Macaca mulatta: one gene and its partners. The protein of the gene in region 1 purifies or fractionates together with the protein of each later gene. This does not show direct contact. Links are inferred from orthologs where the notes say so. Each region holds a gene or a part of one and is shown in the gene's direction. Other genes may lie near its edges.

What was found. The genes of interacting proteins can lie anywhere in the genome.
Region 2: the proteins of ARPC5L (region 1) and ACTR3 purify together in Homo sapiens (affinity purification with mass spectrometry; 6 studies listed by BioGRID and IntAct, counting the BioPlex papers as one, with this or other methods). This does not show direct contact. The link is inferred for Macaca mulatta from reciprocal best matches to the Homo sapiens genes ARPC5L and ACTR3.
Region 3: the proteins of ARPC5L (region 1) and ACTR3B purify together in Homo sapiens (affinity purification with mass spectrometry; 3 studies listed by BioGRID and IntAct, counting the BioPlex papers as one, with this or other methods). This does not show direct contact. The link is inferred for Macaca mulatta from reciprocal best matches to the Homo sapiens genes ARPC5L and ACTR3B.

Annotation. Positions count from the first base shown.
Region 1 is NC_133420.1:22,905,292-22,909,354, reverse strand, and holds the start of ARPC5L (actin-related protein 2/3 complex subunit 5-like protein), read left to right. Parts: upstream 1-1,259; 5' UTR 1,260-1,345; coding exon 1,346-1,495; intron 1,496-4,063. UniProt on the Homo sapiens protein: May function as component of the Arp2/3 complex which is involved in regulation of actin polymerization and together with an activating nucleation-promoting factor (NPF) mediates the formation of branched actin networks.
Region 2 is NC_133417.1:23,708,193-23,712,446, reverse strand, and holds the start of ACTR3 (actin-related protein 3), read left to right. Parts: upstream 1-1,453; 5' UTR 1,454-1,662; coding exon 1,663-1,706; intron 1,707-2,275; exon of another isoform or gene 2,276-2,437; intron 2,438-4,254. UniProt on the Homo sapiens protein: ATP-binding component of the Arp2/3 complex, a multiprotein complex that mediates actin polymerization upon stimulation by nucleation-promoting factor (NPF).
Region 3 is NC_133408.1:192,182,795-192,187,023, forward strand, and holds the start of ACTR3B (actin-related protein 3B), read left to right. Parts: upstream 1-1,428; 5' UTR 1,429-1,490; coding exon 1,491-1,534; exon of another isoform or gene 1,535-1,664; intron 1,665-4,229. UniProt on the Homo sapiens protein: Plays a role in the organization of the actin cytoskeleton.

The DNA of each region.
Region 1 (4,063 bases):
GCTGGGATTACAGGCCTGCGCCACCACACCCGGCTAATTTTGTATTTTTAGTAGAGACGGGGTTTCAGCATTTTGCTCAGGTTGATCTTAAACTTCTGACCTCAGGTGATCCGCTCGCCTCGGCTCCCGCAGTGCTGGGATTACAGGCGGAGACTTTTCTTTAGCGCCAGTTTCCCACTATGGGAGTCTGTATCCTGGTTACCACGGAAGATTAGGTTGCATCATAGTCTGGCAATAGTTTTTTGATCTTTAGACACAGTTCAATGAGAAGTATTCGAAGCAGTAAAAATGAATCACATTCCAACTTTTATTAACAAGGGTACTATTAGATGAAAACAGTTTTCATAGTATTATATAAAAGACCCATTTTACTTACCCTAAGGCTAAGATCAATTAACAGAACCCCTGGGGTAACAGCCCAGGCACCAAATCTGACACCTCAGAGTCGTCCTTGACTTCCCTAACCCGCTTTCCCGCATCTCAGATTCTGAGAATTTGGTTTCTATCAAGATGTGCCTCTCAAGCCAGGCCTCTCCTGCCAGGACGGTGGCCACAGGGCCATCTCCCTCTCCTGGGGCCCCAACTGCCTGGTCAAGGTGACTGCTACACACGTGGGGCCGCAAAATCCCTCGAGTCACAATGTCTTCAACGCCTTGTCAGCCCTCTGATCGCACTAAACGTCTTTAAAGCCTCCCACTCCTTTAACAGGGTCACCTCTGTGTAAAGGAGACCTCCTCGTGCTAAGTGTGGCGGCGTTCAAGATTCCAAGACACAGACCCCTCCCGCGTCACTCCCCGGGCACAGGAACTCCTACTCATCCCTCAGTCATCAGCTCGAAGGTTTCTTCTCCAAGAAGCCTGCCCAGCACCCGAGAAGTAGAGCCCCGAGCCTTCTCCCGGGCGCCCAGTCTTCCCCCGTACAGGCAAGGATCACCCCGGAAGCCCGCGCCGGGCCCCGCTGAGGCCAGGGGTTCTTCGGAGGCGCGGGAAAGCCGGATCACCAGCGCGATTACGGCACACACTATGCGGGGCCTGCAAGGATACCGGGCGGCCACTCCTCAGTGGTAAGACAGAGGCTCCGCGGAAGAGAGACTGAGGTCGGAGAGGCCGCGGAAACCCCATAGCGCACTCCACGGGACAGGTTCCGCCCCGCCCCGATGACGCTTCCGGATCCGGCGTGTGCCGGAAGTGGGCGGGCGGCGGCGGCTGCGCGCGGAGGCGGTGGAGGAGGTGCTGGGAGCAGCCCGGTGGCCGCTTCCCGCCCCCGAGCCGGAGCCGGTGCGAGTGGAGCAGAGCTGAGGTCGGGCCGCGAGTGGAGCCGGCTGAGCGGGCGCCGAGCTCCCGCCATGGCCCGGAACACGCTGTCCTCGCGCTTCCGCCGGGTGGACATCGACGAATTTGATGAGAACAAATTTGTGGACGAGCAGGAGGAGGCGGCGGCGGCGGCGGCGGAGCCAGGCCCGGACCCGAGCGAGGTGGACGGGCTCCTGCGGCAATATCCTTTCCTGACGCGGCGTCCGGGCCTGCGCGCGGCCTTCCCACCTTCTCGGGCCCCTTCGGGCGGGCCTCTGCTGTCTCCGACCCCCGGCCCCCTCAGGTCAGCCTTCAACTCCCTGCCGACCTGACTCCCCTGGGCCGTGCTCCCCTGAGTCCTGGTCTCCCTGGGTCCTTCCTCCCCAGCCCTGGCCCCTTCTTGTGCAGCGCAGCCCCGCAGGCCCTTGGACCCGGTGGACGGGCTCCCTCGGTAGCCCCGCAGGTCCCGCGCCCCGGGCTCTCTTCCCCTCTTGCCTCCTCGTCCCCTCACGCTGTCCCTTTCTGGGGGCCCCAGCACTCCGTCCCTCCCTTGCAGGAAATCGGGCCTATGGCGGGGCTGGGTCGGCGGCAGGGCGGAGGTGAGCCGTATCTGAGTAACCGAGTGATCGGTGAGGCTGGGGCGCGGTCTTCCGGGGCCAGATTGCCGCAGGGCGTGAAGATAGGTGGGTGGACCGCTGTGGGGAAGACAGGACCCAGGAGGGAGTGGAGGCGGCCGCCCTATTTCAGCCCTGGGGTCTAAGGTTGTGCCTCCCCTCCCCCAGTCAGTCTAACCCTCCCGCTTAATGCTGAGAAAGGGAAACCCTGTGGTTCCTCTGGTCACCTTGGTGGTCTCAGCTACGCTCAGCAAGTGAGTCTTGGCTCCCCCCAGTACCCTTCTGGTGCAGGAAGCAGCGGAAAGAACTAGTAGTTCAGAGCTAAGAAAAACCAGACACCTTGAAGTGAAGTGTGAAAGTAGAGCCCCACGCCTGGAAATGACTGTTCTTGTGGCCACAGAAAACAGCATTTAGAAAAGATTAAAAATAGAGGTGATTGTCACAGCCTTGCTTGGTCCTTTAGCAGTATGAGCGCAGGAAACTGACTTATTCTCACCGGAAGGATTTTTCTTTATTCAAATGGTGTTCCAGGAAGCCTGTCCCCTCCCCCCGCACGGGCGGGGGCAGGGTTGGAGGCCCATGCTGTACATAAATCAGGTTCTCGGTGTTGAACCAGTTGACTCAGCTTGGAAAGTGGGGCCTGCTGCTTTAGGGGGAGCCCGGCAGTGCTCCTCAGTGTGCCTTTAAAACGAAAACCTTCAGACTTGGTTTGAACAGGAATGTGTTTTCGGAAGTGGAGATTCAAGCTTGTCATTCCTGCCCCATCAGGATCTCCCAGTCCACCCTAGTTATGAAATGGGGTCAAGGGAAGGGTCCCCAGGAGGGAAGGTTGGTTGTAGTCAGGTGCAGGGCCTGGCTTATGGAGAGTCAGTGCTGAAGGGGGCTCCAAGGTCAGGCCTTTGGCCCAGGACCCTCATTGAACAGATGAGGAGGTCAGGCCTGTCAGCTGCTGCCTTGGTCTGGGTGCAGAGCCTTGTTGAAGGTCATGTCTTGGGATTCCCCTGCCTGGTGACAGGTTCCTTGAGGCTGCTTAGAGGCCTGGGTTTAGCACATCCCGGGGATGGTCGTTTCTCCATTCATGGCAGCGGCAGAAACCTTGTTACCATGGAGAGTGTTCCACCTGGGGTTGGGGAAAGGGAGGTTAGCGGATAAAGAGAACTGAAACCCTGGCAAATACCGGACCCAGGTAGGGAGGAGAATGGAACTGATATTTATTGGGTCTCTATCATGTGCCAAGAATTGGACTTAGACCATTGAGGACAGGGGAGCAGGGAGAGGGATAGAGGGATTGGGGTTGGGGAGGGCAGAGAGGAACCCTGTCCTGGGGCTATATAGGGAAGTGTGTGTGGCGGGAGATCACGCAGATGGGGTAGAAGGAACTCGGCTGTGCATCTTCGCACACCGCGCGCCATCATGCTCTGGCTCTGACCTCGGATAGGTCACATACCCTTTCACAACTCAGCATTCTCCTCTGTGACGTGGCAGACAGCCGTGCTGGCTTCCTAGGTTCTGTGGGAGCCTCATGGGCTAACATCAGCATCACGGGGCACACAGCAAGTGTCTGCTCAGGTCTGCAGCTAGAGCGGCAGCACGGGATTGTGGGAGGAGCTTGGGTGCCAGGGCCATCTAGACAGCTTAGTTTTGTGACCCTGTGCAGGTAATTTCCGTTCTCTGAGCCTCAATTCCATTGCCTTTCAAATGAGATAATGATTGTTGTTACTGGGATTTTTGGAATGAGATGGCATGTGAAAGCACCAGGCACAGGATCCGAGACCTTGTGGCGATTTAAAAGTATGAGTTCCTTTCCCCTCAGTGAAGCAGCTTCTAGACTTCTGGATCAGGGCTCTGGCCAGAGCAGTGGTTTTGAGCGATTTTGCACCCCTCCTCTCCACCTCAGGAAATTAGAAACATTTTGATAGTTACAGCTTGGGGATGCCACTGGAATCCAGTGGGCAGAGGCCTATGACCCACAGCTGAGATCCCACGTCAGAGAATCGTGGGTCCACAGTGTCAGTTGTGCCGTGATTGAGGAAGATCTAGAGATCAAGGGCTGGGCAGGGTTCCCCCAGCACCACAGCCTATTCTCTGAAAAGGTCTAAAGCCAGCCAAGTGTGACAGCCGGCTTCATGAATGATAGGTGATTTCAGGGAGGCCCTC
Region 2 (4,254 bases), on another chromosome or scaffold:
AACTCTACAAGAGACCTCAACTATTTTGTCCCACCGAATACTCAGAGTCAGCACAGTCCCTGCCATAACAGAGTAGGTAAGCAATACTTACCTGCCAAGTGAATAAATGAAACACCCGATTCCATCCCCCAGGCCAGCTTAATACCACATTAGATGATCTCACGGACTGAATAAGACATCCTTCCTTTTAAAGAATATTTTTATTTTAGCTTCACATTAGCAAACTCAGAATGGTTTATTGTTAAGATCAGCCTGGTAGAGAGGAAAGCTATTAACCTTCTAGGGTCCTAAAGTGGAACTAGGAACTGATTAGATACGCAGATTTTCAGGCATTATTTCAGACAGCCCAGTCAGAGAATTCTGGGGGTGTGGCCCAGCAATCTGTTTTAACAAACCTTTCGGGTGATTCTGACACACACTAAAGTTTGAAAGGTTTCTTTAAGGCTTTCCAGTTTTCTTTTCTTTTTTTGGAGGGATGGTGGTGGTGGTGGGGGGGTCTCCCTATGTGCCCAGACTGATCTCGAACTCCTAGCCTCAAGCTATCCTCTCCTCCCACCTCGGCCTTCCAAAGCATTGAAATTACAGGCCTGACCCACTGCGGCCCGCCTCCGTCTTTAACTTAAAAAAAATTTTTTTTGGGGGGGCTAAATCCCTTCTATTATCCCGCTAGTAGAATCTTACTACTCCTGAGGGTAATCTTTGTCATAGTCCAAAAGCCTTGAATAAAGGCTGTTTGTAGTTTTGCAGAATATATTCCTGGGCGGTTTGCCTTCCTCAGGAGCTCAGGCCTTGGGAGGTGGGGGTTGGAGGGCAGGGCTACATTCTGAAGTCCTGTAACAACGCACAAGTACAACTGAATAAAACTCGGAACAAAGGCATCAGGGCCACGGTGCAAGCCTTTGTTCATCCGTTCCCCGACTGCTCACCCTGTGTGATATCGCTCTTTTCCACCCAGAAAAGCAGCCACTCAAGTTTTAAGAATGGATGCATGCCGCGGACGTTTTCGATTAGGCCGTTTTCTCCCAGGCACTGGAGGATATTCGTGGCTGCAGGAGGCGCTTCCACTCTTTCCTCAACCTAGCAGAGAAGTAACTGAAACTAACCCAAGGGCTACCACCGAAAAGCCCCTTCCAGCTTCAGAAGCAGAACTAGAAGCTCGGCTAGACTTCTCCGTCTCTACCCTCCTGGAAAACCCGCTGTGGATTTCACTAACTTCAGGATCGGAGCCCCGGCAGGCGAACGCACCTTATTGCGCATGCTCGCTAGCCCCTCCCGCTCGGAGCGGAAGGGGGAGTGCTCGGGGCCTGGGCCTGGCCTGGCCGGGGCGTCGGCACCGGCGGCCATCTTGGCTTCCCGGGGAAAGGCGGCGTGAGGGGAAGAAGTTGTAGGGTGGGGGCAGGAGTGGGGAGGAGGGAAGAGAGAGGGGGAGGAGGCCGCGGCGGGGCAGGGCGGGGACTGCCTGCCTGCTTGGGTTGCGGAAGTGATAGCCGCTGACCGAGCCTGCTGCTTTCTTGCTACTGCTTCGGCTTCCCGGCTACCCCCCGGACGGTGAAGGCGGCCCGGCTGTGGATGGTCAGATAGCGCCTGTCTCCCGCCGCCAATCTCTGGCCCCTAGCAGCACGGAGCAGACGGCGGCAGCAGCAGCAGCAGGCGAGGAGGAAGATGGCGGGACGGCTGCCGGCCTGTGTGGTGGACTGTGGCACGGGGTAAGGGGGCTTACGGGCGGGGGTGGGGAAACTGAGGCGGAGGAAGGAAAATGGCGGGGGAGGGAGGAGGCCGGGAAATGAATGGTGCGGCGAGGTGCTGCCGCCGGCTGTCAGTCCTAGACTCGCCGGCCAGCGAGGGGTGGGGCCCGGAGCCAGGGCCTCGCCGGTCCCCTCGTTTCTCCCTCCTAGGACTGGGGCGGGGGCGCGGGCCCCAGATTCAACCCCCAACCCTCCCTGCAGCTTCCTCCGCGCGACCCCTCCCGGCCCTTCCCCCACGGCGGTGGGCAGTGCCGCCCAGAGAGTGCTAGGGACGGTCGTCTTAGGGGTGGTCCCCGGGCCCGACCCATCCGGCTTTGCTTTCCCTCCGTGTCCCTTTTTGCCAGTCGGTGTGGGGACCCAGGGGCCGAGCTCGGGGACTGGCCTGGTAGAGGAGCTAGAAAAGAGAAGCGCTCCTGGTAGGTTTTGCAAGATCGCTGTGACAACATTCTGCCCAGGGTGTGGGTGGGGAAAGGGAAGAATCGGACTCTGAAAATGGGAACCTACAGTGGGGTTTTCATTTGACCACCCACCTTCTCCTTTCGACTCCCGGTCATTGCCATCTCCCTCTGCGTTTCAACCGGTGAACCGAGTCACATTTTAATTCGAGGGAGAAAGATGTCATGTGTTACTTCTGTAGCCTCAAAAAAGTCCCCCAGTGAGCAAGCGCGCTGTAACTTCCTTAGTTTTGTCAAAGCCGCTTCCTGCTTTCAGTCTTTTATACCCTTATAAGGTAGTTTTTAGTTTCCAACCTGAACACATCTTATTAGAACTTTTAAAATTAAGCAGATTTTAAAGAGACTGAATTACAGGTGCTTGGTATCCATTTATATGACTTAAAAAATGTGCTTATGTTTCATGGAGAGGGGAGAAAGGAAGCACCCTGGGAAATAAACTAATTTAAGTTGTATTCGTTCATTCTGTAAAGGTATCTTGAAGGAAGCAGAAAGGTATAGAGGTATATAGGAATGTGTTTAAGTTGCAAGTAGTTACTCCTAGATCTGTAGGGTAGTTTGCTAAAATGTAGAATGGCTTAAAAGTGATCTTTCATTTTGTATTAATAGACATTTTAGAGAGTTGTACCACACTCATAACTACATAGAGAATAGACTACTCTTATTTTAATGTAGAATCACTGCTTCACGATGACTTATAGGAAGGGTTTTTTTTTTTTCTGTTCTGATTACATCTCTCCAATTCCCAAAACACTCCCAATTTTTTTTTTTTTTTTTGAGGGGGAAGGCAGTGAGAGGCTTGTTTTTTTATTAATTATAATTATTAATTTCATTATTGTTACTTAAAAGATTGTGTGTCCTTCACTCTTTACGTGAAATTTCTTTAATCTTCATTCTCATAACTAGCTAGTGTGGCAGTTTCTAAAATCCCAATTAGGTAGAGAGAAACAACCAACTTCTTAATATTCTCCCTAGGAAAGCACTAGCCTAGATTAGCCTTGGAACTTCCATGTATTTTATTGATGAACACTTTATTATAAAGTTTTTCATGAACACTTTATTATAAAGTTTTTTCTTAATTGGTTCTCATTTCTCGGAACCAATAGTTTTTTTTATTTCCCCCTTCTTAGTCTAATTGATGAGTAGTTTTATGTCTAAGTTCAGTTTTAAAATTAGATTTGGCCTGAGTCAGTAGGATAGAACTTTTTAAATGTGTTTTGTTAAAGTGACGAATATTGCTACATAATTAATGCTTTAGAAATTACTGAGTTGTCAAAAAAAATAGTGTAAATAACTGTGGCCCTAAGAAATAATATGGTAACATCTCAAGTAGTATGTTACTTTTCTAATCTCCATTTTTCCCTCTTTGAAATAGTTTCGAATTAGTATACAGGATGTCTCATTGAGGTCATCTGTCCTTAAGTGACCTCCTTTCCTAAAGGGCAACCTTGAATTTAAAACATGCTGAATGACCAGTAGGATCGGGGAGAGGGGTTCAATTTAACCTAGAGTATTTCTGTTTTAAAATTACAATTATTACAATAGTATATTTTTAAGTTATTACACTGGTTTCTCTGATAAGGAGAGGTTGTTAACTGCACTTTGATGATTTGAATGGAACTGATTAGGAGTCCCCTTGCCACCTCCCTCTCTTTACCATTTGTCACAATCTGAAATTCCCCCTTTAGAGTTTCAGTTATTTTGGTCCTCAAAAGGCTTTTTGGTCTTGCAAGTTGCCAGTGGTGCCTCCTGGGAAGTTACACTTTCAGCTTTATTAGCACATGGAGGATAAGTCCTTGAGGTCGAGGACCCTGAGATAAGCATCTCTAAGTATGGCCTTAACAGGGAGCTTTTACATTTCAAAATTCTGTGGGCCCCGAATGCAAATTGTGCACCTATAATTTGTCTATTTCTTTATGCTTTAGAGAATGCATTCAGTTCTTAGGTCTCTAAATTACAATTACCCACTTAGCTTAAGTAAAAAGTTGTAACCTGAATCAGGTTGCTCATTTCATTCGTTATATAAATTAGGGAAAAGGTGGCTGGAAAAAAGTGGC
Region 3 (4,229 bases), on another chromosome or scaffold:
AAATACAAAAAATTAACTGGGAATGGTAGTGGGCGCCTGTAATCCCAGCTACTTGGGAGGCTGAGACAGGAGAGTTGCTTGAACCTGGGAGGCGGAGGTTGCAGTGAGCTGAGATTGCACCACTGCACTCCAGCCTGGGCAACAGAGTGAGACTTGTTTCAAAAAACAAAATAAAAAAACGACATGTTTCCAGAAAGCTCCTAAAAAATTAGTATCAAGAATTTACGATCGGGCAAGAAGCAGGAAGCAAGTGGCAAGTGGGGCTTTCAGTAACTTTATAATATAGTAGGTGGTGTTTGCCTTCTTTGGTTTCGGTAAGAACTTTTGGGCAATCATCCCATCTTTGACACTTGAAAACATTTTCCAGGAGTGATCTTGGTGTGATTAACTCAGTCTAAGGTCATTCATTCCTTAAGGCTGTCCAAGCATTTGTTTTGCAGATTTTTCTTCTGAGAAAAATTTAGGCAGTGTTAAGTATAATAATTCCAACTAATTTTTTTTTTGGTTTGTTTTTTTGAGATGGACTCTCGCCCTGTTGCCCAGGCTGGAGTGCAATGGCACCATCTTGGCTCACTGCAACCTCCGCCTCCCAGGTACAAGCGATTCTCCTGCCTCAGCCTCCCGAGCAGCTGGGCTTACAGGCGCCTGCCACCACCCCCGGCTAATTTCTGTCTTTTTAGTAGAGAAGGGGTTTCACCATGTTGGCCAGGCTGGTCTGGAACTACTGACCTTGTGATCCGCCCTCCTCAGCCTCCCAAAGTGCTGAGATTACAGGAGTGAGCCACCGCGCCCAGGCAATTCCAACTAATTTTTTTTTTTTTTTTTTTTTTTTGCTATATGGGGAAGGTTACTCAGTCATTCAACAAGCATTTGGGCACTTCCACATATACACCAAATACTGTGCTAAGCACCTGCTGCTCATCAATAGTTATTAAGACAGACTCAAGCCCTATCCTAGAAGATCTGATAGTCCAGTACGGGAGACAGACTACAAATACATAAATATAAAAATATAAACACTTTGCTTTAAGGGTTAGGAATGAAACCAACACTTTGTTGAGGCAGAGGATACAGTACCGGTAGGGGACCTAGTCAGGGTGATCAGGAACAACTTCCCTCGCAAGGTGACATTCGAGCGAAGAGTTACAGGATGAGAAAGGCGCCAGGCCTCGGAAATGGGGTCACGTTCATGTAAGTTGGTTAAAAATAAACCCCAATCTCTCCAGCAGCAACGTTGAACGTGTGGGGCCAAGAAGCCTCGCTGCCAGCACTAAAGATGGCGCGCCAGGGGAGGGGGCGGGGCACACGCGCGTTCTGATTGGTCAACCCGGGAGTGACGTCACGTGTCGGCCGCCGAGCATCCGGGCTCCTGGCGGCGGCGCTGCGGAGGCTCGCGGGAGACGCGGCGCGCAGGGCGAGCGGGTGGCCGAGCGGACAGCGGCGGGGCGCTCCCGGGGGGCCAGCGGGGCCGAGCGCCGCGCGTCCCGAGCATGGCGGGCTCCCTGCCTCCCTGCGTGGTGGACTGTGGCACCGGGTAAGAGCCGCTCGGCGCCCACCCCCGCTCCTCCGCGGCCCCGCTCCCGGCCCCCGGCGTCCACCTCACCTGGAGGTCGAGCTGTGTCCGTCGCCCCGGGCTTGAGCCCCGCGTCCACCTACCTGGGCAGGTGGGGCGCCGGCCGCCGCTTCCCTCCAAGCCTTGCCTTGACGTCGTAAAACCCCCTCTTCCCCGCCGGGAAGGGTCACAAGAGGAAAAGCACGGAGGGGAGGGACGCGGTGCCCACTCTGAGCGAGCCCGGCGCTCCTCGCCTCCCCCGCCCACGTGGCCGGGTCCCTGGACCCGCAGCCCGGCTCCGGCCGCCGCCGGGGTGGACACCCTGAGGGGCACCGGGAGCGCGGGATCTCCCCTCCTAGGAATATTCGCCAGCGTGAGGCACAGATCACTGCAGATCCTTTAACGTCACTCACCTCCTAGCGAACGGTGTCCCTGCCTTCCAGCGTTCGCAGCACTGACCCTCGTTCTGTGCCCGCGTGTGCATGTCATTCCTCCTGGCTGAGGATTCTTTACCACCTACTTGTGGAGAGAATTGCATCGATCTCCCAACTTGACACCCTTTTTACTGCCCTCCCTGCGCTTTTCCAGTATGAAATGGCACACTCAGGCCAAGCTCTCGCTTTGGTTTGCATAGATTTGCCTTTTCGCTGAAAGATGATGTGTTTAAAAAGACTCCATTTTGAAAAACACCCTAAATTTGGGAAAGCGTGTGTGTGGAATTGTGGTACAGGTTTTTGTTTTTAACTTTTTGAGTGTGACCCCTTCGATGCCGTTAAGCTATTAAAGAGATCGTAGGAAATGTCCCGAAATATCGGTGACCCAAGTTAGCTGGTTGTAGTAAGCTGTTTGCTGAATCCATGTAGCTGGTAGTTTGGGAATACAAGCTTGCCTGCTTGCGTTATGGATGTAGTGCTTAGTAAAATAGCGTGGAAGTAAATTTGGTCTCTTAGAGATTTTTTTCAAGAAGGGTTTTTAATCATTTTTGCCACAGAATGTTCCACGGCATGTTCACCTTACCCTTGATTCTTTTCTATAGAAAAATGCACTCGGTTTGGTTTCCTTGACAACCTTGTGGGGGTGCCGTCTTTAATTTGCTACAGTCCATCTCCTACTGGTAGTTCCTTCCTTTTTACTGCTGAAGCGACCAGAAGTGGTTGTGGACTGGAAAAATCTGCCTCTTTGCTTGTATGAGTTCTTTTTGAAATACACATCATATCAACCTTTGTAGCTGTTTATTTTAGAACTTGCTTTTCTACCTAAAACTTAACAAGACAAAGTCAGTGTTGTTGATACTACAACTCCTCTTAACTCATGCCCTCCTCCCCACCCCCCCCGCCCCGTGGGTTCATCTCATGTCCCCTCAGGTCTGATTGTGTCAAGAATGAAACCAGCAGATGAAATTATTTTTCATTTCCATATTTGCATGTGAGATTTTTGCTTTGTGTTTTTGGTCTTGCAGAACTATTGAAGTATAAAGGATTTCTTGATAGTAGCAATAAAATAATGCTCACAGAGTTGGCATACCTTTCATATTAGTAAGTCATGGACCTTACTCATCTCTCTTGCTATAAATACCCAAAATGTCATGCTCACTTTTGACCTTTTGAGGTAAGTGATTAATGTAGCTTGGCTCACTTGGAGATTCAGCTTCTATAGATCGCTATTTTGTGGCCCAAAGTCATGCTTCAGAAGTTGGTGTCAAGACTTAGAAACGGTGGCAGGGAGTCCCCGTGTGAATTCCCCATAGCCAGTGTATGGCCAGAAGGAGCCTGAAAGAGCCCGAATTTTCCAGCTTGAGCACATCTTGTATTTCCCAGAGAGCTAAAATGATTTTTGGCTTCAGTTTTGCCTCAAAATAGGAAAAAAAAAAGGTAAAATTCAGATAAAAATAACCAAGCCAAAGGAAAAGAAGGGACCTAGGAAGTCACCCTGAGCTTTAGCCCAGTGGCTGCTGAAGTTGGTCCGCACATTTGAGCTTAGTCTTCCTATCCAACAACATCATAAGAGTCATAGTTATGTAATTTCTGTCATCAGAAATCAAGAGAAATATCTGTTTCTTGGGTGAAAAAAGCCTTTTTTGTAGTACTAAATTGTAAAAACATTAATGTGGAGCTATACATAGTGGGCACTAATGATTTATTGGACAGTGTGATAAACAGTATTTTTTACAAATAAATTTCATCCCAGTATCCTTGAATCCTCCTCTGCTAAACTCTGAGACTGAGTGAGCACTGGTGTGCTGGGGGCCAGGATAATATGGACAAAGGGATCTGCCGAATCCAAAAATAAAGCTTCATCTATTTAAAGAGATGACTAGGCTGCATAGTTTTCAGAGAATATTTCACAACTCCAGTCTCACTTCTCTGAGCCAAACTTTTTAAATGAAGTCTTTTGCATTTTTCAACTTACTTTGAAATAATTTCAAATCTACTGAAAGCTGGAAGAGAACAAAAAACTACTGTGTACTCTTCTTCCAGTTTTACCAACTGTTAACATTTGCTTTGTCACAGTCTGTATGTCCATACATATTATTATTACTTTCCTGCACTGTTTGAGAGTAAGTTGCAGACACCACTTCCTTTTATACCAAAATACTTCAATGTCTACTTTCTGAGGACACATTTTCTCTTCTAGAATCACATACTAATCATCAAAATCAGAAAATTTAACATATGTA